Oreochromis niloticus: one gene and its partner. The protein of the gene in region 2 purifies or fractionates together with the protein of the main gene of each other region. This does not show direct contact. Links are inferred from orthologs where the notes say so. Each region holds a gene or a part of one and is shown on either strand. Other genes may lie near its edges. The genes, in order: protein bicaudal D homolog 2 and ranbp2.

Evidence for each region.
Region 1: the proteins of ranbp2 (region 2) and protein bicaudal D homolog 2 purify together in Homo sapiens (affinity purification with western blotting; 3 studies listed by BioGRID and IntAct, with this or other methods). This does not show direct contact. The link is inferred for Oreochromis niloticus from reciprocal best matches to the Homo sapiens genes RANBP2 and BICD2.

Annotation. Positions count from the first base shown.
Region 1 is NC_031970.2:20,553,728-20,569,440, forward strand, and holds the start of protein bicaudal D homolog 2, read right to left. Parts: upstream 9,000-15,713; 5' UTR 8,742-8,999; coding exon 8,502-8,741; intron 5,701-8,501; coding exon 5,488-5,700; intron 4,917-5,487; coding exon 4,764-4,916; intron 4,451-4,763; coding exon 3,986-4,450; intron 3,281-3,985; coding exon 2,285-3,280; intron 2,146-2,284; coding exon 1,994-2,145; intron 1,560-1,993; coding exon 1,328-1,559; intron 980-1,327; coding exon 977-979; 3' UTR 1-976. Other genes in the region: transketolase, read right to left, coding at 13,622-13,809, 14,731-14,853, 15,196-15,289, 15,423-15,506, 15,593-15,713. UniProt on the Homo sapiens protein: Acts as an adapter protein linking the dynein motor complex to various cargos and converts dynein from a non-processive to a highly processive motor in the presence of dynactin.
Region 2 is NC_031987.2:11,381,203-11,396,915, forward strand, and holds the start of ranbp2 (E3 SUMO-protein ligase RanBP2), read right to left. Parts: upstream 6,627-15,713; 5' UTR 6,476-6,626; coding exon 6,404-6,475; intron 3,825-6,403; coding exon 3,757-3,824; intron 3,670-3,756; coding exon 3,558-3,669; intron 2,295-3,557; coding exon 2,142-2,294; intron 1,843-2,141; coding exon 1,612-1,842; intron 1,218-1,611; coding exon 1,075-1,217; intron 584-1,074; coding exon 388-583; intron 175-387; coding exon 34-174; intron 1-33. Other genes in the region: lims2 (LIM and senescent cell antigen-like-containing domain protein 2), read right to left, coding at 12,102-12,243, 12,597-12,672, 12,914-12,962, 14,453-14,545. UniProt on the Homo sapiens protein: E3 SUMO-protein ligase which facilitates SUMO1 and SUMO2 conjugation by UBE2I. Involved in transport factor (Ran-GTP, karyopherin)-mediated protein import via the F-G repeat-containing domain which acts as a docking site for substrates.

The DNA of each region.
Region 1 (15,713 bases), on a different chromosome or scaffold from region 2:
TTATTATATAGTACAAACACTTAGGGTTCTTTTTGTTGTAATGTTTGAAAGTGGCACTTGTATAAAGAAAAAACACACAATGGCACTGCAGACTTATTTGAAAAATTTTACAAAAAATTGTATTAAAACAGTAACTTTATTCATGATAAAGAATTTTTAGAGTTTATGAATACTATACATCTGACCTTAACTTATAAATCCTTAAATAAGATTTGCATTTTTATTCTTTTTCCAGACATAATGAGCATACTTTTAATTTGTAACAGCTCTGCTTTATCTATTAGGAACATAGTGATACACAATGTAGTTAAGATCCCGTATTTGAAGCTTCATATTTGCAGGATCATAGAGTTATGACAATACAGCACGACAGAAGACACGGTTATCAAGAATTCTGGCTGTCAGTATATGTCAAATACTAAATCTAAGGCCAACGGACATCAAAATCAGAGACTTACTTGTGGCTTTAAAAGCAATCTGTGACTTTGTTGCTATGAAATAAATAAGGTTAAAGGTATGTTGGAAGACAAGCATGCACACAGAATACAGACATTATACAATACTTGAAACAGTTAGCATCATTTTAGAAAGTGGAATAAGCTCGGAGCAAATACGTAAAACAAAAAAAGTGCTCAGTCAGGGTAACACAGGCATTAAGTAACCCACAAAACACCCATTGTGACCCTTCAACCGGTTGAGTAATCATAGTGGTTCATATTTTGGAAGACTGATGGACTGCACCGGGTAGCTGGTGTGTTATTTTCTGCAGTTTTCATAGAATTTGATGCTATTTTAAATAGCTGTTTTGGCACTCTAAAACAAGGCTCTTGGCTAATACTGTTTGACATATTCTCGTCTTAGTAGTGACATGGTGATATGGACTGTGATTGAGAGTGGAGAAACCAGGAGAGCAGACAACTGGCCACTGACATACATAACCTGACGGACCTCGTTAAGGACACTTGGCTTCATGAGTTTACTGCAAAGACAAAACAGGAAAAAAATGAAATTAATTTCAATTTCTCCTGCATTAAGTGAGACACACAACACAGGTGTTGGGTGTGCTTTGCATGCAGGGTTCAGTCATGAACCATCAATAGCCTATTAGGCTACTACAGGGGACAAGTTCTTCCTCTTTCCACATTAAATTACACCTGCTTATACTTAGCACGTCATGTGCTCATAACACCAAAAAAGGTTAAAAAAAACCCAAACAAATAACTCAATGCTGCATTTTTTTTAAACTTTTTGAAAGCATCTAGAAGAACTGGCCTTAGCTGAAATTTTGTGCCTTAGAGGTCGTTCTGCATTACAGCTCGTGACTTACACTGCGGCTGGAAGAGCCTCCCTTGCCCTTCGTTTTGGCCTTGCCACCCACTGTTGTGGCGCTGTTGCGGCGCGCTTGTTCATGGTCAAACTCCAAATCCTCTAGGCGCTGAGTTAATGCGAGCTTTTGCTGAATGGCCATACGTAACAAAGAGTTCAGCGTCTTCTTTTCATCCTCGGCAGCAGCCAGCTGCCTCTGCATGTCATCCAGCTGTGTAACATACTCATCACACCTGAGAGGAAAAAAGACGCAAGAGAAGAGAAGAGAAGAGAAAAGAAGAGAAAAGAGAAGAGAAGAGAAGAGGGGGGTAAACTTGACTGCCAGCAGGTGGAGCAATTTGCCTCAAACTACTGCGGCTGTCAGGATTCCCCAGACTGCATTTTCCAGATGGGAGGATGATTACCACGCTAACTAACTGCACAAGTATTACATGAGACTGCTCCCACAATGCTTTGCATCTTTCTCAGAGAAATACACAGAAACGCAAAATATTTTCTCTCGAGTTAAGAAGCAGAAATATGACAAATCTATATCAATGTTCTTTTTAATTTCTCCTGTAACAGAGAAGGATGTGTTTGGTCTGAGCCAACGGATTTATTTTTTTTAATTATACTTGCCCAATTTATGTACATAATGGCTGATTTACATTTAAAGTATGTGTCGTACCTTGTAGCAAACATGGCCCGGAGAGAGGAGAACGTAGCTGCGTCCTCTTTCAGAGCCTTGAGCTCATTACGGAGCTTCATCATAGTCTCAGTCACCATAGTCTTCTCACTGTCATACTTACTCTTGAGGTTGGCCAGAGCAACCTCAGCTGTCTGAAGGGAACAACATAAAATGATTAATGTTGCAAAGTTCTGCAATTTTTTAATTCTGTGGTTTTTGCATCGCTATTCTATTCTGTGTGCGCATTAATAAACATCGTTCCCCTGACACATACACAAACCATCCTCTCACCTGTTTGTTAGCCTTGAGAACAGCTCTGAGAGTGGCAATCTGCTCCCTTTTGGTACTAAGCAGGGATTTCAGTTTGAGAATCTCCTCCATGCACGCTTCTTTGTCTTTGTCAGCCACTGTGCTCAGCTCCAGGTTGGCAAGTCTCTGACGTGACAGCTCTGTGGTGCGGTCCACCGCTTGCTGCAGGTGGCGGATCTGGTCCCTGATAATAGCAACAAGGTTATAGATGTTCATGGGTTCCGGCCGGTGCTCGTGTGCTGCAGTAACTGCTGCGCTGCTGGAGTCGGACTTTCCAGATTCAGTCTCACTGATTAACCCGTTAGTGAGAAGTACTGACTGGTGATCCTTTGCTTCTTGCCCCTTTCTTACAATGGCCTTGCCTTCCTTGTAATAGTCGAGCATGACGCGGTTAGGGGTTTCATTGTTGCACATGCACACGTGGTTGTAGAGGTTGGCCAGCTCTTCACTGAAGGCTACGAGCTCATCCTGCGCCACATTAAGGCTGCCAAGTGATTCTCCTGCAGCTTCGTTGGCCAGACAGAGCTCCCTCTCCAGACGTGACAACGCTGCTTTATCTGCTTGGCTAATTTTCTCCAAGGACGACAGCTTTGCCCTCAAGTCCTGGACATCGCTTTCCAGCCGCGCTCGCTCATCTTCATATTGGGTTCGACACTCCTCGTATTGCGCCCTTAGTGTTTTCAGCTCTTGTCTCAGTTCTCCAGCTTCAGACACTGCCACGGTGTATTTACACTGCAGAATCTCAGGCCCGTTAATGTCCAGTTCATAGTAGTCTCCATCGTCATGGCTGTCCCTGTCTTTCTCACTGTCAAGGGCAGACTGCCGCTCCTTACTGGCCTGAAGTTTCCTCATTGCACTTAGATTTTCAGTCAACCTGTTGACCGTTTGCTTTTGCTCGGACACAGTCCCATAGGCCTGTTCCAGCTGCTTCTGGCTCTCCTGCAGAGAGTTGATCAGGGCAACTTTTTCCCTCTCAACCTACAGAAACACAGATATAAAGAGTTCATTAGTCAGCTAGGCCACGTTATATATATAAAAAAGAGAAAGAATAAAACAGGAACGGCCTTTTTGGCCAGGTGACAGAGTGCAATTAAAGTTTCTTAACAACCTTTCAGGAACTTTTGAGTGACTCAGTTAATGGTGTACCCAATGATAGCTATCTCAGTGTGACCTGCCAATCCTGATGATTACTAGTCATTTAGTATCACTACATTACAGATTTAGTTCAGCTCCTTAGTTTGTCATTTACTTTTCTAGTAGATTTGTATAAACCCCACACAGTTTGTGGTGTTCTTATCTAGTAACTGTAGTTTGGCGTGCTGTTTTATTTTGTATGAATGATATTTTGTATACAAACTGAGTTACTGCACACATGGGTGACATCTGTCTATGCTGGTTTAGCCCAGTTGCCCTTTATACGCTCTAGATCCACAGAATACACAGCGACAAATAAAGTTAGGGATGCATTAGACTGATAGCATTTCCTGTTTTCTCAAAACTCTTGTGATAACATCTTAAATTCTTTTGGCCACGATAATCATCTAGTGAAAATAGCATGGCAGCCTTTCTACGACATCTACAGTAGAACTTAAGCTTTTTACTGAATGAGAAATCATGGCATCAGGTATGCTGCAGTCAGAAAACGATAGCTCTTAAGCCAAGTGCATCTGATGGATCTCATACCTGCACCAGCTGTTGTTTCAGTTTCTGTATCTCTGATATGTTGAGCTCACTCAGCAGGTCGTCCACCAAGCTAGGGACTGGTTTGAAGCCCTCTCCTCTCTTGTTCACTGCAGTTCTATTGTCTTCATCACTTTCGCTCAATTTAACCAAGCCGTTCTCAAACCCTCTTATTAGATCATCATTGTCCGGTTCATTGATGGCTGAAGGGTCCTCGTGGAGTTTGGCATTATCAATGGAAATACTGAAAGAGCTACTGTACACGGAGCCGCCAATGGTCATATAGTGGGAGAGCTCTTTGCGCAGCGAGGCCTTCTGCTCACGCTCTGTCTTGATGGTCTCTAAAGCTTCCGTCAGCTGCCGCTCGGCAATTTCCCTCAGACGCATTGCTTCCTCCAGCTGGCTGTGCAGACACTGGGTGTCTTCCTCCAGGCGGCGGATCTCATGCTTTAGACCTTCAAATTCCACCTGTAGAGACAGCAAAAATATAAATAACGCAGCTAATACTTTTACACAAGTAAGCAGCATCTGTTATAATTTGTGAAACAGGCATAAGTGCATCATGGTTGGCCAAAATATTACACGCAGACCCATTTTTTGAATGTAAAATTTGGTGTGTGCTCATATTTTTAAATTGTAAGGAAATGACATAATGACTGTGTAGCGATATTAGAACCAAAATAATAATATGGCTAGTCTGACTCATAAAAACATGAACAACACAGCTATTTCTGAATGATTTCCACCCACTACAAAACTTGAGTTTTATGGCCAGTCTCACCTGGTTCTGTTTCAACACAGACACTTGTTTCTGAAGTGAGATGTTCTCCTCCTCCAACTCGCTGTAGTCCTGCAGCAGTCGAGCCTCCCGAACCTTGTACTCTCTGATGTCATCCCGCAGCTGACTGCGCTGCAGCTCTGCCAGCTCTGAATTCTGCACACAAGAACGGGGACAACTGAATGAACTTTAATTTAAACCTATGTTCACCATGAGCAAATGCAGTGTAAATCACAAACTACACGCTTGCAATAGTTCAGCAAATGAGTTAAAATAAAGGCAAGAGTGCTTCACATGCCACAAGTCTTTGGCAGCCATGTGCAATGACGGAAGGAGGACATGGTCCACTTACCAATTCATTCTACAGAGAGCCCCGGTGGAGGACATCCTTTGTGTCACTCACTGTGGACCATTACATCATCTTTCCTGCTGGGCTCAGTGCAACCGTGCAAACTGGCCCTCCCCCATGATAAGAAGCAGCTCTCTCACAACCAACACTGGCAACTTTTCGTAGTCTACAAGTCAACTTCAGTTAGCATTACAAGCTTTCATTGATTTCCCAAATGTGCTGCAAATAGCAGATCTCCGATTATGACACATAAAAGACGCAGATTCAACCCTTGGCTTACTATATACTATGATAAGAAAATGCTCAACAGGAGTTAAAGTGAGCATTTGAGTATAAATCGTGATAAGAAATTCATATTGCAGCACTCTCAATACCTACCTCTCTCATTTCCAGGGCAATGGATGACAGGCGGTCATTTTCAGCTTGTGCACTGGCGAGGGAAGCTTTGGCCTGCCGGAGCTCATTCTGTAACTCCAGGACCTTCTGCTGGTAGAGAGCCTCCTTACTGGCAGACTCCAGTATCAATGACTCTTCCCTGCTCTCCCCATCTGCTGCCACCTTTCTGTGGGTTGAGTAAGCATGTCCAAAGGCCTAAAGACAGACACAAAAAGCAATAGAACAAACATGTTTGATTAACGATTCATTACAAACCTGCTTTAAGACACATGCACACAACCACGAGCATGGCCAAAATAACTAGTTAGAGACTTCAGTAAATAAAGATCTTCACAATTTGATAACTATTTCAGAAAATATCACAAATGTGTGTGTATGGGGTACTGGACAGTTCTTTCTAGTAACAATGACCTAAGTAAAATTCTCCATCTCAAGAGAGGAAATGAAACCACAGATAAGGAAATATACACGATAAGTATCGGTTCTTACTCATCACTCTAAATAAAATTGTAGTTAAATTGGGGATGCATGGTTACATGTTACATTCACTGTGTTTATTTCTTTGGGTTTTTTTGTTACAGAAGAGTTTTGCTGCAAACACAGATTACATCTGAAACTTATTCAAACAACAATTTTGGCCAAACTGATTTTTCTAATGATAAAATGTTTCCTAACATGAATTTGTTTCTCTATTTAACGATGATGATGACAGAGCCTTTATGGATCCCAAATGAAATGTAGACATTCATTAGCACAAAAAACATCAAACATGAAATACCGATAAATACTGAAACTAGCAGAGACAACAATTATACTGTAACAGAATACGAGATGGTTTGTGAGAAACTACAATAGTGAAGTGACACTCTTACAGCAGTCATGCTCTACTAGAGGATACAGAACAGTACAATCTGCATAATCACAAAGATAGACTAAAAAAAGTGGATGTGACGACTTTCATTGTTTTTGATAATTAAATTACAAGGCCATAAACAACAAAACTAACTGCTTTCAAGTGTATTTGTAAATGCTTGAAGCCTAGTAATACATAAAACCATAACTAATAAAAATAGAGCACTGCAGCATATCTGCCATAAATAAATGATAGAATATTATGTTAAAATATAGAATCTTTTTAAAAAAAAGTATCCAGTATAAAATCAAATACTCTAGCTTCATACATGACCACCACTTGGTAAAACAGTTCAGTCACTTGAGGATTACAAAGTACTCAAATGTAAATTTCAAAATCTGGCAGAAATTTTAATTTTATTGACATTTTGACAGGTCTGTGTTTTTCTGCAATTAAAAAACACTGTTCAAATAATCATCAAAGACAAATCTGTACAGATATTGCTTTGATATTATAAAATAAATATTTATCTACTTTAAAACAGATTGGATAAATGGCAAGCAATATTCCCAAAGCTGCAGCATGTGTTTTACTTTCAATGTTTAACTAGCTACTAGGAACAGTCTTTGGAATCTTTTGCAAAATGTCACTTGAATAGTTTTACTAAGCAGGTGCAATGTGAACTAATTTTCAGAATAGCAGTAAACTGATGAATAATTTGATGCCATATCTGCACAATTACCTACTAAACAGCCAAACACACATTAAGTCAACAGTTACGTAACAGCAAATGGAACCCACTGTAGAGTTAGATGTCTTTTTCCGGCCAATTCTCAGTCAGACAAACAGATCTGTGTAACTAGGATCATAGTCATGGTCAGTCATGATGATGTGAATCGATAGGAGGCTGATAGAGGACGAGGATGGACGATTCCTTTACCTACCTCACTACTCAGCGATGTACTGTAGTAAGGGGAAACTGTCACAGTCATGAGATACTAAGTAAATGACCACAACAATTAGTCACTTCGTGATGCAACTATAATCTATAAACCAGAAAATTCCCGGTAGTGGCAAAAATCTCACATCCTCCTTTTTAATTTACATTTCATGATATTAGACTAGATTTCCTGTATAAAGGTATTAATAAGACTGCGACCCATTTAAGCCCAGCCTACACACAATGACCTATCACCATTTCACGTGAACACAAACACTGAAGGACACTAATAATAGAAATTGGACATTTAGACATACAGCTGACAGACAGCAATGTGGAAGTGCTTTAGGATGCATTTCCTCTACTGACTGACAGACTGGATGTGACAACAGTCTTAAGACTGAACTGAAGGGAAGTTCCCAACCACCCCCAACACACACACTTCTTTATTCTCTAATGAAATACAGACAGATTTTCCCACATGTTAGGATCTTAGTGGCTGGTGGTGCGTCTTATGAGTTGCTGTGAAAAAGTGTTGCCAAGTTATCTTTCTTTAGCTTAATGTTTACTAGATTCATAGATTCGCCCACCTGTCATATTTAGCTGTAGAGGTTATTCCTCTACAGTGAAACTGAAGGGCCTAGGGGTTGGCTGACATTGTGGGTTAAAAATGTCTCAACAGACAAGCTATTAGGAGATGAAAAGAAACACAGATATTCAGGGTTATTAACTTCTTTTTTTAGTGATTTCACCATTGGAAAAACTTCTATGTTATTTTTAAACAGGTTAACAGCAAATTGGCCAAACAGGCTTAAATGTGACATAAGCCACTGCAGCTACAGTCTGATTTCAAGGCCTCAGCCTTTGGAGCAAGTAAAGGCAAGTAATCCAAACTAATGACAGTTTTCATCCTTTAAGGCGAGGCAACATTAGGTAACACTGCAATATTTCTGCTTGGAGGTGGTTATGCATATTTCAAACTTCATATAATATTTGAGGAGGCAGGAGGGATATAAATAGACATGGGGCTGGGGCTCAGAGGAAGCAAACCCCACTACCGACTGCTTCTAGTTTGATCCCCGATGTCACTCTAAATTCCCACCGTGCTACTATTATAACATGCACTAAGTTGCTCTCCTCGCCTTCACATACTGACTGATGCCAGGACTTATATCTGGCTGCGTGGCGGTGACCTCGGGTTACCTCCTTCAGCTGATCCAATTCCTGTCGGACCGTCTCGTAGTCCGTCTCCAACTCATCAAATCGCTGCTTTAGCTGCTGTTTCTCCTCCAGCACCGCCAGCCCATACTCAGCCGCCTGGATCTTCTCCTGGGTCGTTTCGCGAAGCTCCCGGGTCAGACGCTCCACTTCGGCTTGGAGCCACTGCGGCCCGGCTTCTGTCACCAGTACCGCCTCAGGATATTCCTGCTCCTCCATAGACATCTTGGCGAGCCGCCGACTCCCAACTGTAACGGGACCCAGCCCTGACTAGCGGGAGCAGCGGAGCAAACCACCAAGACCGCAAATCACTGCCTTCTTTGTTTGGGGCGCATTGTTGGGCTTAAACTGTGTTTAGTTTCCCGGGCTTTCTCTCACTGCGGACCTCGACGGAGCTTAAACTGGACAACAGTTTGCTCATTCTCGATATTTTTCTGTCCCTTCTTGAAGCTGACAGAGGAAACTTCAGTTGAGATCATCGATTAGAAAAAAAAAGCTCCCCCCTACACGGCATTCAAATCAGCGTGACTACGAAGGGAAATGTAGTTTTAAGTGAAGCGCGCCACCTCAAGTACTCCTTGCTTCTGAAGCCGCGTTGACTACAAGTACCAGAATGCATTGCGTCTGTCGAGACAGGACCCCACAGTTTACTGAAACGCCATCTAGAGAATCAATAGTGAAATTGCAACTATAATTACATTGGGAATTAGGATCTTTATTAGAGTCTATGGGTATTTTCGTTATACTCACTTGTCGAATGAACAATAGATTAGTTAATTATAGAAATATGATCTTCAGTCACTTTATTTATTAGGTACACCTGTTCAACTGCTCATAAACGCAAATATCAAATCAGCCAATCACATGGCAGCAACTTAATGCATCCAGGCATGTAGACATGGCCAATATTATCTGCTGAAGTTCAAACTGAGCATCAGAATGTGGAAGAAAGGTGAGTTAGGTGAATTTCATTTAAGTTTTATGATTGATGGTGTCAGGCGGGCTGGTTTGAGTACTTTACTGCTGCTCTACTGAGATTATCGCACACAACCATCTTTAGGATTTACAGAGAAAATATCCAGTGAGCATGGTTGATGTCTGCTTCAAGCTCATAGGAAGGCAACAGTAACTCAAATGGCAATTCACCACAACTAAGGTGTGCAGAACAGCATCTCTAAATGCACAACTCGTGCAACGTTGAAGAAGATGAGCAAAAGACCACACCGGGTTCCACACAAGTGGCAGCTAAGAACAGGAAACTGGACAATAGACGACTGGAAAAAACATTGCATGATCTGATAAGTCTTAATTTCTGCTGAAACATTCTGATAGTAGGGACAGAATTTGGTATAAGATGAAAGCATGGATCCATCTTGCCTTATATCAGCTGCTCATGCTAATGCTGATGGCGCAATGGTGTGTGAGATTTTTTCTTTGGAACACTTTGGGGTACTTAGTACTAACTGAGCATCATTTAAATGCCACAGTCTATCTGAATTCTGCTGTTTGCCATGTCCATCTGTTTACACTGTGGCTATCTTCTATTGACTGTGTCCAGCAGGATAACCATCTTCAAATGATCTCAAACTGGTTTCTTGTACATGTTCACTCTACTCAAATGACCTCCACAGTCATCAGATATCAATCCAATAGAGCACCCTTGGGATGTGATACAATGGGAGATTTGGGTCATGGATGTACAGCTGACAAAAAGGGGGCTAATGAATATATATATATATATATATATTTTAAAAAATCACAAAAAAATATTTAATATTTTGTTTATTTTCCTTCTTTATTAGAAAATGGAAAAAGTTTATTATAAAAGTAGCGGGCAATTAAGTACTTTTAGAAGTCTTGTTAAATGGTCAGAAGGTCTCTATCCCTGACTTAAATCTGCTCATGAACTACGTGGACTGACACCAGGTTGTGGTTATGTGATCAAAGAGTGCAAAGACTGTCAGCTTTTTTGTGTATTTATGTGTAAATTACAGTAAAAAAAAAAAAAAATGCTTTAAAAAAAAATTTATTTGAATGCCAAACAACTGAGGACATGATTCAAATCTAGTAGTTCACAAGGTGACAGAGCACTGTCTTATTGTTTTTAACCTTTGACACACGTGAATGTGAAAGAAAAACTGTGTCAGCGGGACTTCCGTCCATGGTAGTGACAGTCCTTGGCAGTAGTTTGAGGAAGTTGTCTACTGAATGCTGATTGTTTTGTATTGCTACACCTGCCTGGGGACTTCAGGAGCAGCTGAGCTGAAATGGTGTGTACACCTGTGTTTCTGCCTTTCGCTGAGGTTTTCTATCTACGATTGTAGCTCTTGCTCTGTGTAGGCACATTGTTATATTTATAACAGTGTGTCTAAACAGTGTGTACATTGCTGCTTTCACTTTCTCTCACATGCTGTTTTTTCTTATTTCCTATTATCAGCAGCATGTTGTATGTTTATCCATCAACCTATTGATCATTTCTTTTTCAGGAGTACAAAAGGAAGTTAATTTTTGACTTTTATCAACACTGTATGTATATTTATTATGTTTATTTATTATCAACAGATTTGGCAGAGATGTTCCTTTCTGTAGAATATTCATTTGAAACCTATTATTCTGAACATTTCAGATAAATATTACCATTTCTATTCAATCTGCTTTGGACTGGGATGTGGAATGGCTTTCTATAGGCCATTTCGAAGTAAGTTACACTTTTTAAGCCGCTGTTCAAAGTAATTAACCTCTGGCTGAGCCAAGACTGAATAACGACCCATTTATTATTTTTGCTTTCACTTTCAGCACTCGCAGTTCCAGTATGTCTTGGTATATTTTGCACCATAGCGTTTGAGATTCTGGGCATTTTTACTGGTAAGTAGAATTTTTTATAAAATTCACACCAAAATTTAAAGCGAAATGTTTTTCCAAAAAGAAAAATGTAATTTTACATAATGCACTGCAGGTTCTGCTTGTCACAATGTCTGTCTTGACTTTTCTACCCTGCTCAGACCTGCCTGCCCATACTAAAAGATGTAAAGGTGCTCCCTACGACAACAGAGGTACTTCCCGCTGCTATATCAAAGACAGAATCCTAATCTTACATCAGAGTCCATATTTAGATTGGTTTTGTATAAAAGCTAAACATTACCATCAAACTCTCCTTAGATACCTACTGGGGATTTGCTGTTGCACTATTTGTTGCTTTCTTGCACCTCCACTCATATCATGGTAAGACCACAATACTTTAAATATAAGACTTTATATAATACATGGAATATTCAGATACTCAGGGGATATACTGTTTTAACTGTGGTTAAATAATGTGTTTTTCAGTTTACACACTATCGTATGGATGTGGAATCATAACGTTTGCTCTTAGAGGAGCAAAACGGAAATACAGCTCTCTGAGGTTTGTCCTCTTCAAAAACTATTTTTGCACATTCTTCCTGTAGAATACAGACTGTTTAAAGAGCAGTGCTTATCAAAGTTTAGAGTGTAGAAGGCCAGTGGGAAATATGGAGAGGAAAGATGTTCAGTCAGAATGCTTGATCTACAAACAAACACGGGTTTTCTTATATTATGGCTCTGATCTTCATTTAACTAAATATTAAACTCATTTTTTTAATCGATTATGACTCATATGAATTGTGTGGTGGTGGATGTCATTATTTTTTTTATTCGCTCCTGAAGGGGGCATGCTAGTACAAGTTTTAGGAGCACTTCTGCAGAATTCATTCAATGTTTTTAAATGTTTTTGAAAGTTGGGATTTGTATGACCCAAAAAAATGCATTTGTTTGTTTTGAACAGGGAGCAGAGAGAGAGAACGAGAACCTGGTGGTGGTGATTTTAAAATTACAGTGGGGGGATTTACAGGAAGCTATTTAAGTGGTATTTAAGATGATGAGATGGTGACGTTTTATGTCACTGTAGAAACAAACACTGTAGTTTCCTCTTTTTTTCCACTATAAATGTCTCTGCAAACTTGTGAATGTATATTATACCAGTACACTGAAGTTCATCTGACTTTCATAAGATGGGACTGTCTCATACCAATGCATGCTAACACTGATGGCTGTTCATAAATTTCATAGATACTTTCCCATTATAGTTGCAGATTGCTGTTTATGAGCAGTGCTTAAATAACACACGTCAACACAAAGGCGAACAGAAACTATTGTAAATGGTAAAAGTCAAATGCAGAGGGCTTTATTACATGAAAGTATGGTACATACAAAATTTCAAGTAACAAAGAAAGTGTTTGTTCTTAGGCTGACACGCTGGACGTAACTAGCTATTCAACATCACAGCCCACTGTATCCTCTATCAGCACTGGTGGCTCTTCTTTGCTCCACGTTGTGTAAAGATTACACTGCTGTTGAGGTCCAAAAGCAGTGCTAGAGCACAAATGAACACTGAGGTGTGTTGGTTTACGGTAACTGAAATTTCAATAACAAAAGACATTGCTGAATAGAAACAAATTTAAAAACTACAAAAATGAAAGTGAAATCATCTGAATGTTTAAATTCTGGCTCTGCATGACTGCTCTTTATGACGTGTACACATTTCTTTCACTTTGTTTCCTAAAGTCTTTCACAACAACAACTCATTTAGTTTCTGTCTGACACACACACTCTATGATAAACACCGACTTGAAAACTATGCCCCACTCAGTATTACAAGCTATAGCAAAACAATATAAAACCACTGCCAGTTGAATGAATCCAGGAGCATTAAGAACACATTAGAGGATCACACAGCAGACATGTAATACCGGACTTTTTTTTTTTTTTAATAGTGAGCATCCACCAATGAAAATGTCAGTTATGTCCACATTTCTATCATTGAAATGGGTCTATAACAACGCTGGTATTATCAGTGAGGATATGCATGTTGCATGAATTTGTGTGTCTCAGTTTTGGTGATAAATACACAAAAAGGAAGGCAAACATGGAACTCTAATGTGTACAGCACAAAATCACATTACTTTAGTAGCCTACACACTTAGGGGTATTCACTGTGAACGAAATCAAAGAGTTGGGTGCCATGTGAATCGAAAACATATTTGACTACTTAGCCTTATCTTCAGGGGTGTAATTGGATAGGTAGGTGGTTACTTGGCATTGGTAGAGCTGCTGACCATCTTACGAATGGCCTGGGAAATGGCATCACGGTCGATACCGTAGATCTTCAGCAGCTCGTGGGGTTTTCCACTGCGAGGAATGTGGGACACAGCGAGACGGTGCAGACTGAAGCCAGACTCATTGACCATTGCTGAAGACACTGCTTCGCCAAGACCACCTGTGAAAAAACAACAAAGGAATATATAAAAGACAAATGTGAAAGACAAATTCACTTAAAGGCATTTCTAACTGTCTGGTCAATGTGATGTCATAAAGATGGGACATTTCTAACATGGTCATCTCGGGCTGTGTGTGTGAAGTCCTGAATTCAGAAGTAAATAAATGAAATGAAATAAAGGTAGCTATATAGAAAAATTATGCCCTTGAATGATATTGTTTTACATTATTTCTTGTAGATGTAATAATGTAGCAAGTACTATATTTGTAATTTTGAAGTACTGCCCAATTGTGTCCGAGAATAAAAAGATGGAGCGGGAAGTTCAAGCATATTTGGTTCCCATTACAGTATCCAAAAACACTGAGTCTCTGTGCACACTTTACATAAAGGGATAACAAAAAAATCATTACAGCTCAGTGTAAAAATGATCCCCTTGAACGCTGCACAACAGCTGTTCCAGATGTACAATGAATGAGATGCACAACATCAGACAAATTACAGTTGTTAAATTTCCTTTGTCCAGCCTCGTCCATGCCATCACCCATCCCCTTTCTCTTAGCAGGCACAGGCCATAGCTGTCTGTGCTATCTAGGTCACAGTCAGCCCCATGGGCACCCGCTTAGTTAAGGAAATCTGACAGCACTCTGCCTCCATGGCTGTCGCACTTACAAAATGCACCACAGTACCAATACCTTGCCTGCAATGAAGGCACACGACAGGCGGTCTCAGCCCTCAGCCAATAAGCAATTGCCAGCACAACCCATCTACATCAGTGAACCAATGCAAACATGCCACCACAACACTCCCAAGGATGTGCACCAATGACGAGGCGCAGCCGCATTATGCTACTGAGCTTGTTGCTGCTTGGTTGGCGAGAGGCATGCAATATGCAAAATCCGACCAACTTTTATATAAACATACCTTCGTAGTAGTGGTCCTCGACAGTGAGGATCCTTCCCCTGGTAGCACGTGTGTGGTCGATGATCGTTTTGACATCCAAAGGTTTGATTGTGAAGGGGTCAATCACTCGGACAGAGATCCTCTCTGAAAGATGAATTTTAGTAGAAAAATACAATGCATAAAGATACATCATACGGTTAACCGAACCTCAGCGATTGAATATAGGAGAATATAGCAGTTCTGCCAACCTGATAAAGAAAGCATAGTTTGTGCAAGAAACACAAAAACTAAGATCAGGCTAACATTTACATGACAAACTGAACACAGAACCATTCAAAACCTATTCTAAGGAACAGTGATGGTCTAACAGACACATTCTAAAAAAAAAAAAAAGAGATATAAATGGTCAAATCTGACCAGCTAGCAGCGGATTACAATGTCTTTTCTTGTAATTGTTCTGGATGTGTCGGCACATATCTTGCGGACCTTTCTTTAGATGTTCAGCTGCAGCAAGGGCCTCATGCAAAGTCACTCCAGCTGCCACCACAGTGACTTGGTCGTCCTTGCTTTGGTACACCACCTGTCAAAGAGAAGGAAATGTACCCTCTGTAAGCTGTAGTATTTCGAGTGATTATTTTGAAACAATAATCTGCCATTTCTGCCTCATGTGTTTATCTCTCACTGTCTTAAGAGAAGCACAAATAGCGTCTCACCTTTGCCTGTCCAACATGGAAGTCCTCATTGCTGTTGTAGACGATAGCACAGTCTTGGCGGCTGGTTCGGATGTAACAAACACCCTAAATGAAAAGGAAAATGAAAAGATCATTACCGCAATAGATGATCATGTAGGGGAGCTGTAACACTGCCATTTTTGTTTAAGTACCTTCGTGGTTGCAGCCAGTTCCACAGCCTTCTCTGTAGACACGCCATCACAGGGATAGAAAATGGTTGCTGTGGGAAGGGCCCTGAACATAGCTACGTCCTCCAGACCCATCAGGGCAGGG
Region 2 (15,713 bases):
AATACCATGCACAGAAAAAAAACAAGGTCAGACCTCTCTGATCAAGGCAGATGAATCTGTGCTCAGATTGAACAACATGTGGCCGGCCTGGCTCTGTCGGTCATTTGCCAGCAGCTCCAGAAGCTGTGGGGCTGTCTGATCTCTTTTGGTCACTTTTGGCTTTGGTCTGGGGACCTGGAGGAAAAACAAACCACGACTAGGTCCTGAACAAGTTCATGGCAATGTTAAGTCTTTCACCCTTTGCAAGTCAGGCAAAAAAAAAAGTAAGAGGCACTGCACAGTTGCACGATGGTACAACTACTGGAATAAATTTAAAGTGACATAAGGTAAAGTGACGTAACGATGATATAAGTAATTAATGAATCTGGTCATTTGGTGTGTCACTACCTGATATGCCAGTAGGTAGCAAAGTGCAGCCAGGTCACGAACAGCCCTCCAGGTTTGTTGACGATCCTGAACCAGCTTAAGCAGCAGCGTGCCTGCATGCAGGTAGAGGTGCCCTCTCATCTCCACAAACACCTCAAGGAGCTCGTCCGCACTGCGGCCTGCAATGCTGCTCAGTGCCTGCATAGCTTGGTCAAACCTACAAGCACAATGCAGATGAACAGTTTACAAAAAAGTTGGAATGCTAAAAACACAACTAACAACAACAACGTTAGCCTTTGTTGAAACAGCTGCAACAATTTGCCTTTTTGACATGTAAAGAGTCAAAGCATGAGACTTATTTGCTTCTCTTTCCTGTAGATCGAGGTGCAAACAACGCCTAACACAGCTACAAAACAACCTGTTACACCTAAACAGACTGAACTTTTACTAAAGACCAGAACTAAATGTGATTCAATTACATTTTATGAGGTTGGCAAGGTTTTCTGATATCAGTAATGTTTGAGAAAAAAAAAATCTGAATGTTAACTTTTCCATATAACTTTGTTTTTTTGTTTTTTTTAAACTTTAATACAATGTCACCCAGTACACGGGAGAAATTAGGTTTTGGTGAAAAAACAAAGCTTCTGATATTATTCCAGTTCTCTTAAATTCATGCGTACAAGTTTTACAATCCAGCACCAGACTTACTCTCTAAGTGCATCTAGACTTGGCTGCACGCTGCTTTCAGATAGTGTGATTCTCAGCAGGCTGCAGTGGGCCAACAACAGCTCTCTCTGAATACGTCGACTCATCTTCTCATTGTTCAAGATGCTGGGCTGAGCCAGGTACTCCTGAAACAAAGGTTATCCATTCTTTAGAAAGGTTTATGCACTTATAAGGGGAAGGGATAGCTCAGTAGGTAGAGTGGTGGCCCCATGATCGGAAGGTCGGGGGTTCGATTCCCCTGAACAGCTACCCTGAGGTACCCCTGAGCAAGGTAGTACCGTCCCTACTGCTCCCCGGGCGCCCAAAGGCTGACCACTGCTTCACTGAGTGAATGGGTTAAATGCAGAGAGGAATTTCCCCACGGGGATCAATAAAGTACACTTTCTTTCTTTCTTTCTTTATAAAGGTGGGAGGATAAGTATAATAAAGGACCAAAATAGAAGTACTTGAAGCATACTGGTCCCGCCTATTGAGGTAAACTTTAATTTAGCAGGACAGTAGTGCAAAGTCCATACTAACCTGCAGTGTGCGCACCACCTCAGTGTACCAGTCCAGACTGTTGCGCAGCATGGCTCTTTTCTCAGCAGCCAGGCAGTGTTTAACAGCCTCTTCCAGCCGGCCATCCTGACGGAACAGCTGAACCAACTTCACGTTCACGTGGGCGTCAGCCGGCCGCGCTGCCAGCTCGGTCTGAAGGAGGTCAAACAACCGGTTCCAACCCTGCTGACCCTGACGACTCAACAGGCGCTCCTAAAAGCAGCAGCACCGATGAACAGAAGACATTCAGTGTGGCATTCTTTCCACTTTTAATGAAGCTGTACCCTCTTCTTGGACTGTTTTTGTAAACCTAAATGACATTAAAACTCCCACTCATGAAAACTGGAAATTTTAATTTAGGAATAATTAGCAAAGTGATGGACAGAGCAGGCTGTGAACTAGACAACTGTTTATTAAACAACCCAAAATAGTGGGATTAAATGACTTCACAGCTGACAAAGACAATGTTTAGTGGACGTTACTGGAGCTAAAGAAGAAAGGAGGAGCTTTACCTTAAGGTTGAAAACCGCCGGGTTTCCTGGTAGCAACTTTGCAGCTTTCTCCACCCAAAACTCTGCCCTGCTGTCACACTCCTGCTTACTGACAAGCAGCTCTGCAACCTTCAGCACCAGGTCTTTCTGGGCTGGGTTCAAATCCACCGACCGCTGCAATAAAAGCGAAAAACATTGAGTCTGAAGCTGAACATATGCATCAAAAGCTCTGCCAGTTTTTTCTCTCTCCCTGCTTTACACTAAGGAATTAAAAACTCATCACCTCCTCTTCTTTGTTACATTGTGCTGATTATTAATTTCTTTATTACAGCAGCAACTGGAGCCGTTTACGTCCAAGAAACAGGTTGCACTACAGTCAGCCAACTGTGCATAAAAAACCCTGTGTTTTAACAGAGACCAGTGGGCCGTTTTCACCTCCCACAGGTGGAGAGAGCACAGCTTGAGTGCATTTAAAAAGATTGGAAGTGTACACCAATTATATAGCTGATAGTGTTTTGATGAGTCTCAGCACTGACTCTGAATCACTTTGTTTCAGCTCATTAACTGAGAACCAGCTTCATTACAGTACACATCAGTTTTAGTGTTCAGGTGCGAATGAATCAGTAAAAAAAACTCCCTCAAGGTGAGTTTAATGTTCTTAAAAGTTACTGCTACAAGAAGGGAGAGCAAATAAATCACAGTTTATTTTTCTCAATTTTCTGTCATCATTCATCTTCTAGATTTGATGCTATAGCAATAAAACCTAACAGTGCCTTTGGGAAGCTGATTATTGATTCCCGAATGTCAGAGAGAGCTTGGTGATTCATCTTTTAAAAAGTAAAACAACAAAGAGCATTTAGCATTCAGTTTGATAGACTACCTAGTGCATTAAAAAAAAAAAAAAAAGAATCACACACCAAAAGGCAGATAGAAATCACATCTAAAGCCTTGTTGTTTGCTGTGGGAAATGACCCATAGTAACAAAGAGGATACTTATTTTTAACTATTATTTTTCTATATTCATTCATCACAACTAAGCAAATTTATTCAAAGTGCATGTGGGTAATTTCCCTTTCGTGTCCAGGTAAATATACCAGTTTGGTTGGTCCATTTAAATTGGTGTGAGCATGAATCAGCAATTGCACAGACAGCACTTACAGAGCAGTTTTTAAACCCCCACACACATTATACACTTATGTACATAGACAATTGGAGGAATTTTAGGTCAATCATCTTTCTGATTTCTCAAACAAAAAGAAGCTGAATCTGAAAATCAAAGATTGCAACTGACAGCAAATACAGGGTTTGTGGAAGCTGTTCATCATTTTGTCCTTTAAACAATGTTTCCTCATTTCATACCTGAATCTTATGATTTCTTGAACCACATTCTGACTCACTTTTAAGGGAAAAATGCTTCCACTGAGATGTTCTTTTTACCTTGTAACATCCAACTGCTCTGTTGATGTCTCCCTCTCTCTCGTAGAGCTGTCCAAGGAACTTATGTGCTTTGGGATCCCTCTCCTGGACCTTGAGATAGTCTGACACATGCCTAGGAAAAGCATGAAAGACAGGAATTACAAACAATATAGCAACACACAAGCATTGGGTCAAACAATGGAGAGGCTCACATGCTTACCTTTTTGCAAGATCATATTCCTTTGCTTCAAAGTACAATTTAGCAAATAAAAACCCTTTGACTGGCTTCTGTGGAGAGAAAAAAAAAATATGTGGACCAGCATGAGGAAATGGATTCATCTTGTTATGATAGTGAGAAGATGCAATTACACATGTCCTGCAGAGTTATCTGGCTTAGTGGGATTTAAATACTTACCAGTACTCAGTACCTGCTTAGTAACTGTACCACAACCCAAAGGCCCATTTTTAGCCATAAAAAAAAAAAATCCTGCATATGGACCTGCCAATGCCTAGTTAAATCACAGCCGTCTATAATGGTTCAAGTAGATTGTTAACTGGGAATACATCAGAATAATGAAAGATATTTTTGTTCATTATCCAGTTTTGATCAAGTGATCAGCTCAAAAAAAACAACAACAACAACAAAAAAACCCCCAAAACATCTTTTATCCTGAGGAATTAACTAAATCGTAGTTTTGGGAAATTATTCCTCCCAGAGGCTAGTTAGTAACATATTAGCCATCCGGATTACAGCATTACCCATTGTCAGATTTACTGCTAGCTTCTCCTACCCACCACACTACAACTATTATCACTGACTTTTTCAGTGTCAGGTGAACAACGTAGAATAAGTTGATAGCAGGTAGTGCTCTTCTGGCTATTCCACAGACCCATTTAAAATACAAAGAGGGATCACGCTTTCCAAACCTTAGCGTCAAAACAGTTTACCTCCCCCTCTATGCACTATTGACTCTTTGGCTTCTTTAAAAAAAAAAAAAAAAAAAAAAAGAAGAAGAAGAAGAAGAAGAAAAAAAACAGCTGAAAACTCATCTATTTAGACAGGCATTTGGGTAATGCTCTTGTGCAATATGTTGTTTTTATTTGATATATTTTTAAATTCCCTGTAAAGCACTTTTTAAAACTAGATTCCTGTCTTAAAAAGTCCTATGTAAATAAATATTTCCTTACAAATCACACCAACATTTAATTTCTGTATGTTTGTTTAGGAATGATTTAACTGATGATAATACAGGTTTAAGCTCTGAACAGCATGACACCCAATCTTGTGATTTAATTCTTTAGGTAAATGTCTCCAGACTACACACATTACTGTACACAACAAAATGCACAAGGAGGCATTCCACAGGTATATGTGTAGAAGTGTGAATCTATTGTCAAACAAAACTACATTTTTGGCTCTACTGGTGCAACCCTACACATATAATTGGGCTAGACTGTTAATCTTACAATACCAAGGTTTCTCCTGACTCAAAACACACCTCTGGGAGGGTGACTGTGCATGCAAGTACAACTGCTCCACAAATAATTAAGACAGAGTCTGTGTTGCCTTACTTTTTCTATACATATTTCTGTACATTGTTACCTGTATATATACGAACCTCGTTTGCTTATGTATATAGGACCACTTTGTGTCTTCCTTTTATATTCCCCTTGGTCTAAGAGCTGTAACACCCAAATTTATCATCCGTGGAATATTAAAGGTTTATTCTATTCTAGAGGTCTGTGCATTTTTATTAATTACTTTTGATCACTAGCGACACAAAGTGTATTCTAAGCTTGAGTACATTAAACTACACACCACATCAATGAAAAACCACAATCCTGATGACTTTACTTTGATGTAAGACCAAAACATCGTTGGAATTACGCAAAAACAAAACCCTGACTAGGGTAAAGCAACTTGAGAGCATGGTTAGGACCGTTGACCACATAGCACCACATTTACTCAAGTAATTGACTGATCGACTATCATATTATGCTGCCATGTTGTAGATATGTATAAGCAATTAAACCAACATCTTCAGCTGCAACATTAAAAGGATATCTACAAAACAAATTTTCATGATCTCATAATAACACTAACATATATTTCTGCATCATTTGTCCTTTCAGTATACTTTCGAGCTAATCGCTATCAGTTAAGCATCTTTCAGACTGTTGAGCAATGCTACTTTTCACATAATACCTCTGGTACAGATAAGCCTGAATTCTGATGCATTCAAGTTTTTCTTACATTGTATTTATTTCTCATTAAATATTCTGATTTTCTGTGGGTGTAACTGTTTCCCCCCTGACATCCGATCCAAATAAATAATAATTAAAAAGAACAAAAGCAAATCAAGAAACCTTGGAACTCTGCCTGATTAACAGACAAGTCTGTTTGCAATTAAACTAAAACCACCAGTTTTTGAACAGAGTTAGGGTTGCTGCTCCTGATACGATCAAGCAACGAGCATTTTTAATTGTTGTCTGAACTGAAACCTAGCTTTTCCAGAGAAATGAAACTTGCACAACCTATCCAACTAGCTTTGTCTCGCTATCGTGGCTAACTAGCATAGCTGATTAGCTGGCGCTGTTCAAGGGATCCCATGCCGCGCATTTTCCCGAGTATAAAGGGGAGGACACGACGGGGCGTCATCACGCCGGCCGGTTAGCTACAGTCTTTAAGACTATCTGGGGGACGGGGGTTACACAGAGAACGACATATGAGTCAACCGAAATACCGTCATCGTAGTTAAAAAAGCAACGAGTGTTCATTGAACATGTGTACAGGTTGTACCTCATACCGGCTGATGTGACATGATGGCAGCAGCATGCTAACATTAGCCTCGGCGGGCTTAACTTACCTCTTTGAGTGAGGGAGAGGAACTCTGTACTGAGGAAACGTAACAGTCCACGTCAGCCTTACTTCGTCGCATAGCTTCCAAGGTCAGGGGCTTCTACAGCGGCTGAATGTGAGACATAGAAAACCAGAAATTCACTAAATATCTAAAACAAAACTGACGGTAACATCAGCTCGCCTGACGTTAACTCCCCATGATGATATTGCGCAGTCTCAATGCCGTCAAATGGCAGCTGTCACGTGACTTCTTAACCAATGAGAACAAGAATTCAGTTTAACGCAGACTGACGCATTTCAGTTTGAAGGGTTCTGTTACAAATACCTGAAAATCCTAATTTCTCCAACAATTAAGCCTTAATCCTTCATTTGATAAATATTTTGTTACATAAATTAAATATCTTTAAACCCTGTATATGTGTAACCAATAGTATTGACTTAAACAAATCATGCTATATCATGCCCAGTTTTATAGGCTGATATCTTTGCAAATTTTTCCATGTCTGTTTCTGTTGATAAGCTTCAGTCAAGGAGTTTTTTTAAAAAACATTTTTTAGTCAGCGGTTTATTCCAAAGTGTTCTCATCAAAACCTCTGCACACCTGAATGAGTAACAGTTGTCAGAGGGAAAGCTGTGCTATGCAATGCCCATTTGAACTTTATCAGCTACACAGACATTCATCATCTATTATGAACTGAGCATCAGAATGGAGAAATGATTTGGGTGATTTTGCATGTGACGTGGTTGTTGGTGCCAGATGGAGTCGACGAGTATGATTTCAGAAACTGATGATCTACTAGGATTTCTTTACACATAACCACATCTAGGATTTACTAACAATAGTCAGAAAAAGAAAAAGTATCCAGTGAGCGGCAGTTTTCTGGGTGAGAATGACTTTTTGATGCCAGAGGTCAGAGGAGACTGGTCAGACTGCTTTGAGCTGACAAGAAGGCAACAGTAAATCAAACAATCACCTGTTATAACCAAGGTTTGCAGAAGAGCATTTCTGAATCCACAACCTGCTGAACTTTGAAGCAGATGGGCTACAGTAGCAGAAAACCACACTGAGTGCCACTCCTAAGAAGAGGAAACTGAAGCTACAATTCACACAGGCTCAACAAAATTGTAGAACAGAAGACTGAAACTGTTGCCTGGTCTGTTGAGTTTTGATTTTTGCTACAACATTCAGATGGTAGAGTCAGAATTTGGTGTAAAATATATGAAAGCATGGATCTGTCAAGGAGAGAGATTACTGGTTTGATCCCAGGAGAAGACACAACTTGTTCAGCATGATTTAATTGTTTTAATTCTTCAATGTTCCATTGACATTAAAAAAGATTCTGATTCTTGTGGTGCTGTAATGTAATTATAGGCACACTTTGGGCCATTTAGTACCAACTCAGTATTGCTGAAATGCAGCAGTCTTGAGTATTGTTGCTAATCATGTCCGTGCACCTCTCTTCTGATGGTTACTTTCAGTAGCAAAACTCTCCTTGTCACAAAGCTCAAATAATCTCTTTGCTTGCTTTCTCGAACATGACAGTGAATTCACTGCACTCAAATGGCGTCCACAGTCACCAGATCTCAATCCAATAGAGCGCATTTGGGATGTGTTGGAACAGGAGAACAAATCAGCAGCATCTGCGTGATGCTATCATGTCAGTACTACTCAGCAGCTTGTAAAAGGGCCACCGCAGCAGTTAATTCTACATATTTGATTTGGTAGATTTTTTGTTTTCTCCTGTGATCAAACCAGTAATCTCTTATTTATTGAAAATAAATAAGCCATCTTTTCAACATGGACCAAAATCTCACAGAAATGTTTCCAGCACTTTATTGAATTCATCCCACAGAGAATTAGGGCAGTGCTGAAGGCAAAAGGAGGTAGAATATAAATGAAAATACTCCAGCTGGTGTACTCTGAAGATATGTATTAATAAAACTGATGTTCTTTTGTCTGTAAGTATGTATCATCTTGGATGTTGCCTTTCTTTAGTTGATACTGTGCACTGATTAATCTTCCTGTATTTTTTATCTTTAACTTTATTCCCAAAAGTTTTATATTCTGCATTGTATAAACTTACAGCATAATTCTAGTAATAAATATTTATTGTACAGGTTTATGTTTTGAACCGGTATTTTAATAGTCAAACATGTTGCAGTTGTATTTCTAATTGTTTTCTGTTAGCTGAATGTGAGTGAGAGTTAGCTAACATCTGGATATAGCCAACAATTTTGTCTTGAACTCTATTGATTTGTGCTCTTAATAACTTCTGAAGTTAGATGGATGCTGTTTCAGATTATGGTTGTCATATTGACTATCCTGCAGATGCTAATGGCTGTTTAGTGTTGCACACATGTGTATAATGTCCATTAGTAGTCCTCTGATGTTGGGATATTTTGAGTCACTTCATATGTGTGTGTATATGATAATGTGGAGCTGCTAATATACTTGATGAAGCTCAAAATCAAGCATGTTCCCATTTAACGTGGACCCGAATGCAACATATGTGAAATTTTGGAGTGTCATTAAACATTATGCAACACTTGTGAATCCTGAGCCTGCTGCTGGTTTCACGTTACACTTTGAGAATGGTAAGAAGCTGTAAACCAAATAAATCATTACACACACACCGGTAGCATTGACATATGTGTTTATTCCGATGAAGTGTCAGAATGACTTTAAATATAATAAGAAACAACTTCCCAAATTTCAAGTTAAGAACATGCACTTTGGTGTGCCAACATGAATAAATCTGCTCACAAACATTGCAATGATGATATCCAGTATCAGAGCAGTATCTGTTTGCACAGAGTCATCTCAGTCCATCAGAGTAGTAAAGTATCAAATAAAACCATGCACTGAACTATTTGTGGCTCGAGGTGCCGAAGTTCTGCCTCACAACAATCAGCCCAGCGGATAGTTTTACTTCTGTATGACATAGAGAAAGTTGTGCCATCTGCACGGAAATGCACAGCAGTAACATACACTTCATAATGATAAAATAGTGGAATGTGTTTATCTATAGAGCTTGTATTTTAAGCTAAGCTTTGTGATAAAATGGAGGTCATGTGAAGCATTCTGCAAGAATGAGACCAGTTTGGCTTTCTTTCCTAAGTGGGTCTGAGCCCCGAGGAAGTCGGTACACCTCCCTAAGAGGATCACTTTCCCTGGATTACAAACAACAGAGGAAACGTTCAAATGTTCAACATCAATCCCATATCCGGTCTCTGTACATGCCACAAGCCGTCATGTTGTAACACACACTGAGTTTGCAGTAACCATTCAATAAATCCTGTGGCTCAGATGCTTGTTATGATCAATATTTGTTGACAGCACATCGGGACGGGGGAGGGATTGTTTTATAGAACACTGACAGGTAACAGTTATTCACTCACATGTATTTAATAAATCTAAATTTCGCCCTCGGCACTTTGGCTGTATTAGATTAATTCAGATTGTAAACGCAAAAAAATGCTGAATAAATACCAATTTGCACAGAGATCATGCCACACAAAGATGCATAGCACATACAGTAACAAGGCAATCCAACACTGCAGGTGATGGTCGAGTCCGTTGTGTAATATTAAAATGTAGGTCCAAAAAACAAACAAAAAAAAGGCAGATAAAATACTTATTATGCATAATATTAATGGAAATAAACACTACTAATACATAAAATGATACAAGTTGGAAATATTTGAGGTTATTTACACATTTGGGACATTTTCTTTCTTTGGGCTTACTTGATTGTTATAGAAATGAAGCAGTAATATTTTTCAATAAAGGTTTTTTGGCATCACAAGACAAGGTGGCGGCAAAGCTTTTAAGTCATCATATTACCTCTGGCTTTCTATGTACTCTTAAAACTCATATGTCACTTTTTTAAATACAGGAAATTAGCAGGCATGTGTAAAACACACAGTGGAGCAATTTTGCAAAAATGGTACAAGGCACAAAGTTAAAGCTGTCTGACCGAAAATGTGACTGCGGAGCTGCCGGCTGCAGGCACATGAAATTGAAAGTGCAATGCTTTCTAGCTATAACCAACCTAAATGCAACATAGCAGTTGCAAAACACACAAATTCTTTATTTTAATTCTGGGCTTGTACATGGCCACCTCATGGTCTCATCTATCTTTCCCTCTCCAGCTGCTCCACTGTGTTTTTACTTCCTTGCAACAGTTTCAGACAGCTTTTTCAGTCTCTTCTTCAGCTCCAGAGGGAACTTCTCATAGCACTTCTTACACACCGGCTTCATGTCAAACTCCACAAACTTGTTCCTGTGGAAGAAAGAGAAACAGTTGTATTTCAGAAGACTGGCCAGTGATCAGTAGAGGATATTGTTTCCAGGTGAGAGGATTTTGTAACATATCATGATATGTGTAGCATCACTGTAATGATCTCATTCCTTCAGAAGCCCTTCTGACAAGTCTCAGACCTACTGAGACTCGAGATTACTTTTGAAATCTAATTTTTTGAATACATTTTTAATTCCATCATAAAAACTCTGATTCCTGCGAACATTGGACGTAGCAACGTCTGAATTTCGAATGTTATTTTTCAGACCTTTATTTCAAAACCCCAAATCCTGGACAAAGATGCACACCTTCCCATGCGTGTTTCTGGTAGGGTGCTGCAATTAATCATATTTTTATCTTTAAAGACAATACACAAGAAGAAGACAGCTGTCTTAACTTAAGACTTAAATTTGGATACTGATACCAGGGATTCTAAATATCACATTATCCTCTGCATTCAAAGTATCATGTCACATTTGACTTCTGACCTAATATTTACATTTCACATCTGCCTTTCTTTCAACTTGACCTCATCTTTTCTCACCCTTTATAACAAAAACTGACGCCCTACAAGGCTGAGACATGATCAAGATGAGAGAAACGCACATCCCTCTTTTAATAATTGCAGTCTCAACGTTAAATGAAGTGATTCTGATCATTGTTTTTCAAGCAGCCCTAATTTATGTCTGTTTTAGCACTGGGATTCATGAGCATTCATAATGCCTTTTGACGAATAACAATTCCCTGAATGAACAGAATCTTGCCTGTGTTTTCCTTGACAGAAATCACTGTGTGTGCTGACACAGAGTTACAAGAAAATATTTACAGAGATGTAGGAGGTCTTTGGGTGCCTTCTGATTGTGTTCACTTCTACTAACTTGGCCAGCTCCCTAACCAATTTCCTCCAGCTGCCCCTGAACAGCCTTCCCTCCCAAAGTAGATAATCGCTGTATGGAGCGGCGCACGTGTCATAACTGTTAGGACCTCGGAATTTCAACAGCTGATGCCAGAAAGCTGCCGGAAATGATTACGGCTTTGCGGCTTACACCAGACAGACTGGGAGACCCATGAAACAAAGCTTTCCCTTCAACTTGTGATTGATCTGATTTTCCTGTTTGCACAGCAGAGGTTACAAGAGTACCGGCTTAAATCCTTACTAGCATTTCCGGCTAGGAAAAGAACATTTTGCTGAAATGTTCCCGGTCTTACGTCACTCAGATACACTCAGTCATCTACAATTCTCTGCTTGTATTTTTGTTTCATGCCTTGAAAGCCAACTGAACTCAGTGTATCAGTGATCTAAGGGCATGGAAAGTAGGAAAAAACTGAAACAGATAGCAAGGAAGACGAAAACTGACCAAAGGAAAGATCAGCTGAAGTAAGGAGAGAGGAGAAAGAGAGGGATCACAGACACATGGGTATCAATTTCTTCTTCTTCTCTTTTGAGTCACGTTCTCGCTTGGCCAGCCGACGTTTCATGTCATCAGGGAGGCGCTCATAGCAGTGTTTGCACACCGGCTTCAGATCCACCTCCACAAACTTATCCCTGATAGAGCAGGGAGGAAGCAGAGATGGAAATGTGAAAGAGGAGGAAGACATGAGGAGGGGCAGAGAGAGAAGATGAAGGGAAAGGAATGAAGGAGAGGGAAGGGGAAAAGTGGGACAAGACAGGAGGACGATGAAAGGAAGGCGAGGTGAAGAAACAAGCCATCAGAGACATAGCAACAGAGAAAGGTAAGAAAAAACAGTTTGGTAGCAGCAGCAAACAGTCTCAGATGGAGGATAGTGAAAAGAAACGTGATAGACTAAACAGAGAAACTGTCAGACATATCACATGTGAAAGTCTACAGAGAATCTTCAAATATTCATAATTCAGTTTGAATTGTCTGCAAAACTTACTTCAGGGTGAGCTTGGTGTTGCAAGTAGAGCAGGCAAAACAGTTGACACACCACGCCTTGTTAAGAGCAGACACCACTGGGAAAAAAAAGCAGAAGGAGCAGCCACATGAGGCAGATTGTAGACTTATAGTTTAAATTAAACTAATGTTGGTGTGAAGTTCAGGCTACAAATAATTCTCAAGGCAAAACATGAGAAGAAAATCAAGTTAAATTCAATATAATAAGGAAGCAGTAAAAGTAAAAAAACAAAAAAACAAAAAACAATGCTGATGTAAACAGCCATTATACATTATATTTATTAAAATTAACTTCCTCACCATCGCCTTCAATAACACGATTGCAGTGGTAGCAAACATCCCCAAACAGCTGCATGTGACGAGGAGAGAGAAACAAAAGGTTAACAATGCACTGATACATCTTATCGGTTTTTATTGAGGCTCACATGACACACAGTACTGTGCTCAGAAGGCACAGAAACAAGCGCAGGCTACAAGGCATTTGGGGTGAAAAAGAAAAAAGATCCACTACAGCTTTCTAACACTAGGTGGAGTTGTTACATTGACAATCATCTTTGAGAGCCACTGAAGTGAACACTAATGTAACCTGTCTCATATACACGTATGAGAAAGACGAGCTTTAAGGCTCCTTTACGATGAAAAAAATGATCTCCTGATTAATTTTTGGAAAGCCTGCTTTCCTGATTGCTCCCCACCAAATCAGTGCCTATAATAGCAAACTCCTTACGATCATGGGAGTCTGCGCCAAGCTCAATAGTAGAAAAAACATCAGAAATTGAGAATCTGGACCCGTTTGAAACCTGAGCTTTTTGCTCGGCTCACTTCTACATGTGTTTATCTCATTATTGAGATTTTAGTCCTGTTTAATATAAGCACCCAACTCATATAAAAGAAAATTAAAGTCCACCAAAAAATGTAATCATTTTGATATAATATTATAGATCTATGATCATGATCATGCTAATTGCTTTGGGACAAGAGAAATATCTCTTTCAGTGTAACACATATCTACCTGTGCAAGTGGTTTTTTATATAGACTCACTGGACAAAAAACTAATATGTGTATATCTGGAACAGATCCATAATGCTTACATACACTTATGGTCACTTTATTAGGTACACCTTTGTTAGTACCTGGTTGGACCTCCTTTTGGAATCTTAACTGCCTTAATTCTTCATGGCACCAATTCAACACAGTGCTGTAATAATTCCTCAAAGATTTTGGTGCATATCGACATGATGGTATTACACAAATGCTGCAGATTTGTCAGCTGCACATCTATGATCTTCCACCATGTTCCAAAGGTGCTCTATTGGATTAAGATCTGGTGACTGAAGGCTATTTGAGCACAGTGAACTCGTCATGTTGAAGAAACCAGTTTGAGATGATCTAAACTTTGCGACATGGTCTGTTATCCTATTGGAAGCTGCCATCAGAAGATGGGTACACTGTGGTCACAAAGTGATGGGCATGGTCAGGAACAATACTGAAGTAGGTGTTTTAATGATGCTCAAATGACACCAGGAGCCTGAGCTGTTGGTACAGGCCAAGATGGGGCGATGCTTTCATGTCAGCTACACCAATTTGTTGATCAGGTGTACCCAATAAAGTGTCCAGTAAGCATATGTATATATGTATATATATATATATATATATATATATATATATATTTATACATTCACTGCTAATGTCAACTCTCTTACTGACACTGATAGAGTCACACATACCATAAACTAAGACAGAGAAATGGGAGTTTCACAACAGGCTAAACATACTAGCATGTTTCAATTTCTATTTTGGTGTTCCACATCAATATTTCGAGTACCAGTGTGTGTTACCTGGTTGTAGTGCGTTTCGCAGTAGGCCAGGCCCTTGCGTTCGTAGTGACGGTGTCCCAGGAAAGGTTTCTCACACTTAGCACACACAAAATGCTGCAAGCAAACCCAAGCCAGGCACACATGGTTAGCACAGCCATCAGTCAGTACAGTACCACACTCAGACTGTGTTAAAGGTAGCAGCACAGTCCGGCTTAGATATTATCAGAACATAAATAGATCAGTCGTTTCAAATGTTTTGTTACTGCGTCCATACAGAGAGTTGAGAAGTCAGAATAGTGACCTCTAGAGGATATTGGGAAAATACAACATTTTTATGACGGTAATGAATAAAAATCATATCTCAGCCACGAGATATAACATATTTTTGATTAATACATGTGAGGGCATGGATTTTTTAAATAGCTGATTTTGGTGGATAGTTTTACGATCCACTTTTTAAATGCTAACGTTCATTTACAAAATAAATACTATATATATATGTAGCCAGCATCTTTTTCTGGTAGCACATATAAACTCTCAGACAGAGCTCTAGATGTCACAGGACAATAAAGCTCTCTAGATACCCTTAAATGTCAAGTCAGGAAAAGCACCTCGTTTGAAATTAAGGTGGAAGTATGATTAGGCCCCAAGAAAAAAGTTTGGCAAGAAATCCACTTTTTAGTTGAAAGACTAATTAGAAAACTTGTATACTTGTGTAACCCCTTGTATGGAGGCCGGGTGACTGTAGACAGGCAGGGAGGCGGGGCGGTAACCAACGTAAGGCCGGTGCTTAATCCCCTCACCATATCAAAGTGTCTCTCACAATAGGCACGACCGCCTCGCTCATAAAACGGGTGGCCCTGAAACGGGCGCTCGCACACAGTGCACACATGATGCTACACGTGGAGGAGGAAAGACAGGAAAATACGCAAGGAAATATGTAAAAATAGAGATGAAAATAGGAAAAATACATCGATACATATATGGAGGAATAAAGCCAATAAACGTAACTGTGGAGGTAAAAAATATGGATAAAAAGTATGGCACATTTTTAAGAACACTCACTAGGATAAAATATAGATAACAGAAAGCAATAATTTTCTTTTCTCTATGAAATCCAGCTGAGAATGTCTGTGTTTGTTCTATTTCTATAAATACAGAAAAGGAAAATAACCAAAGAATACATCATTTAGAGTTAAACTATATCTACATACAATGTGACAAATCATACTAAATAAATGAACACACTGAAATATTATCTCCTTCAAGGTGACTCTATTTT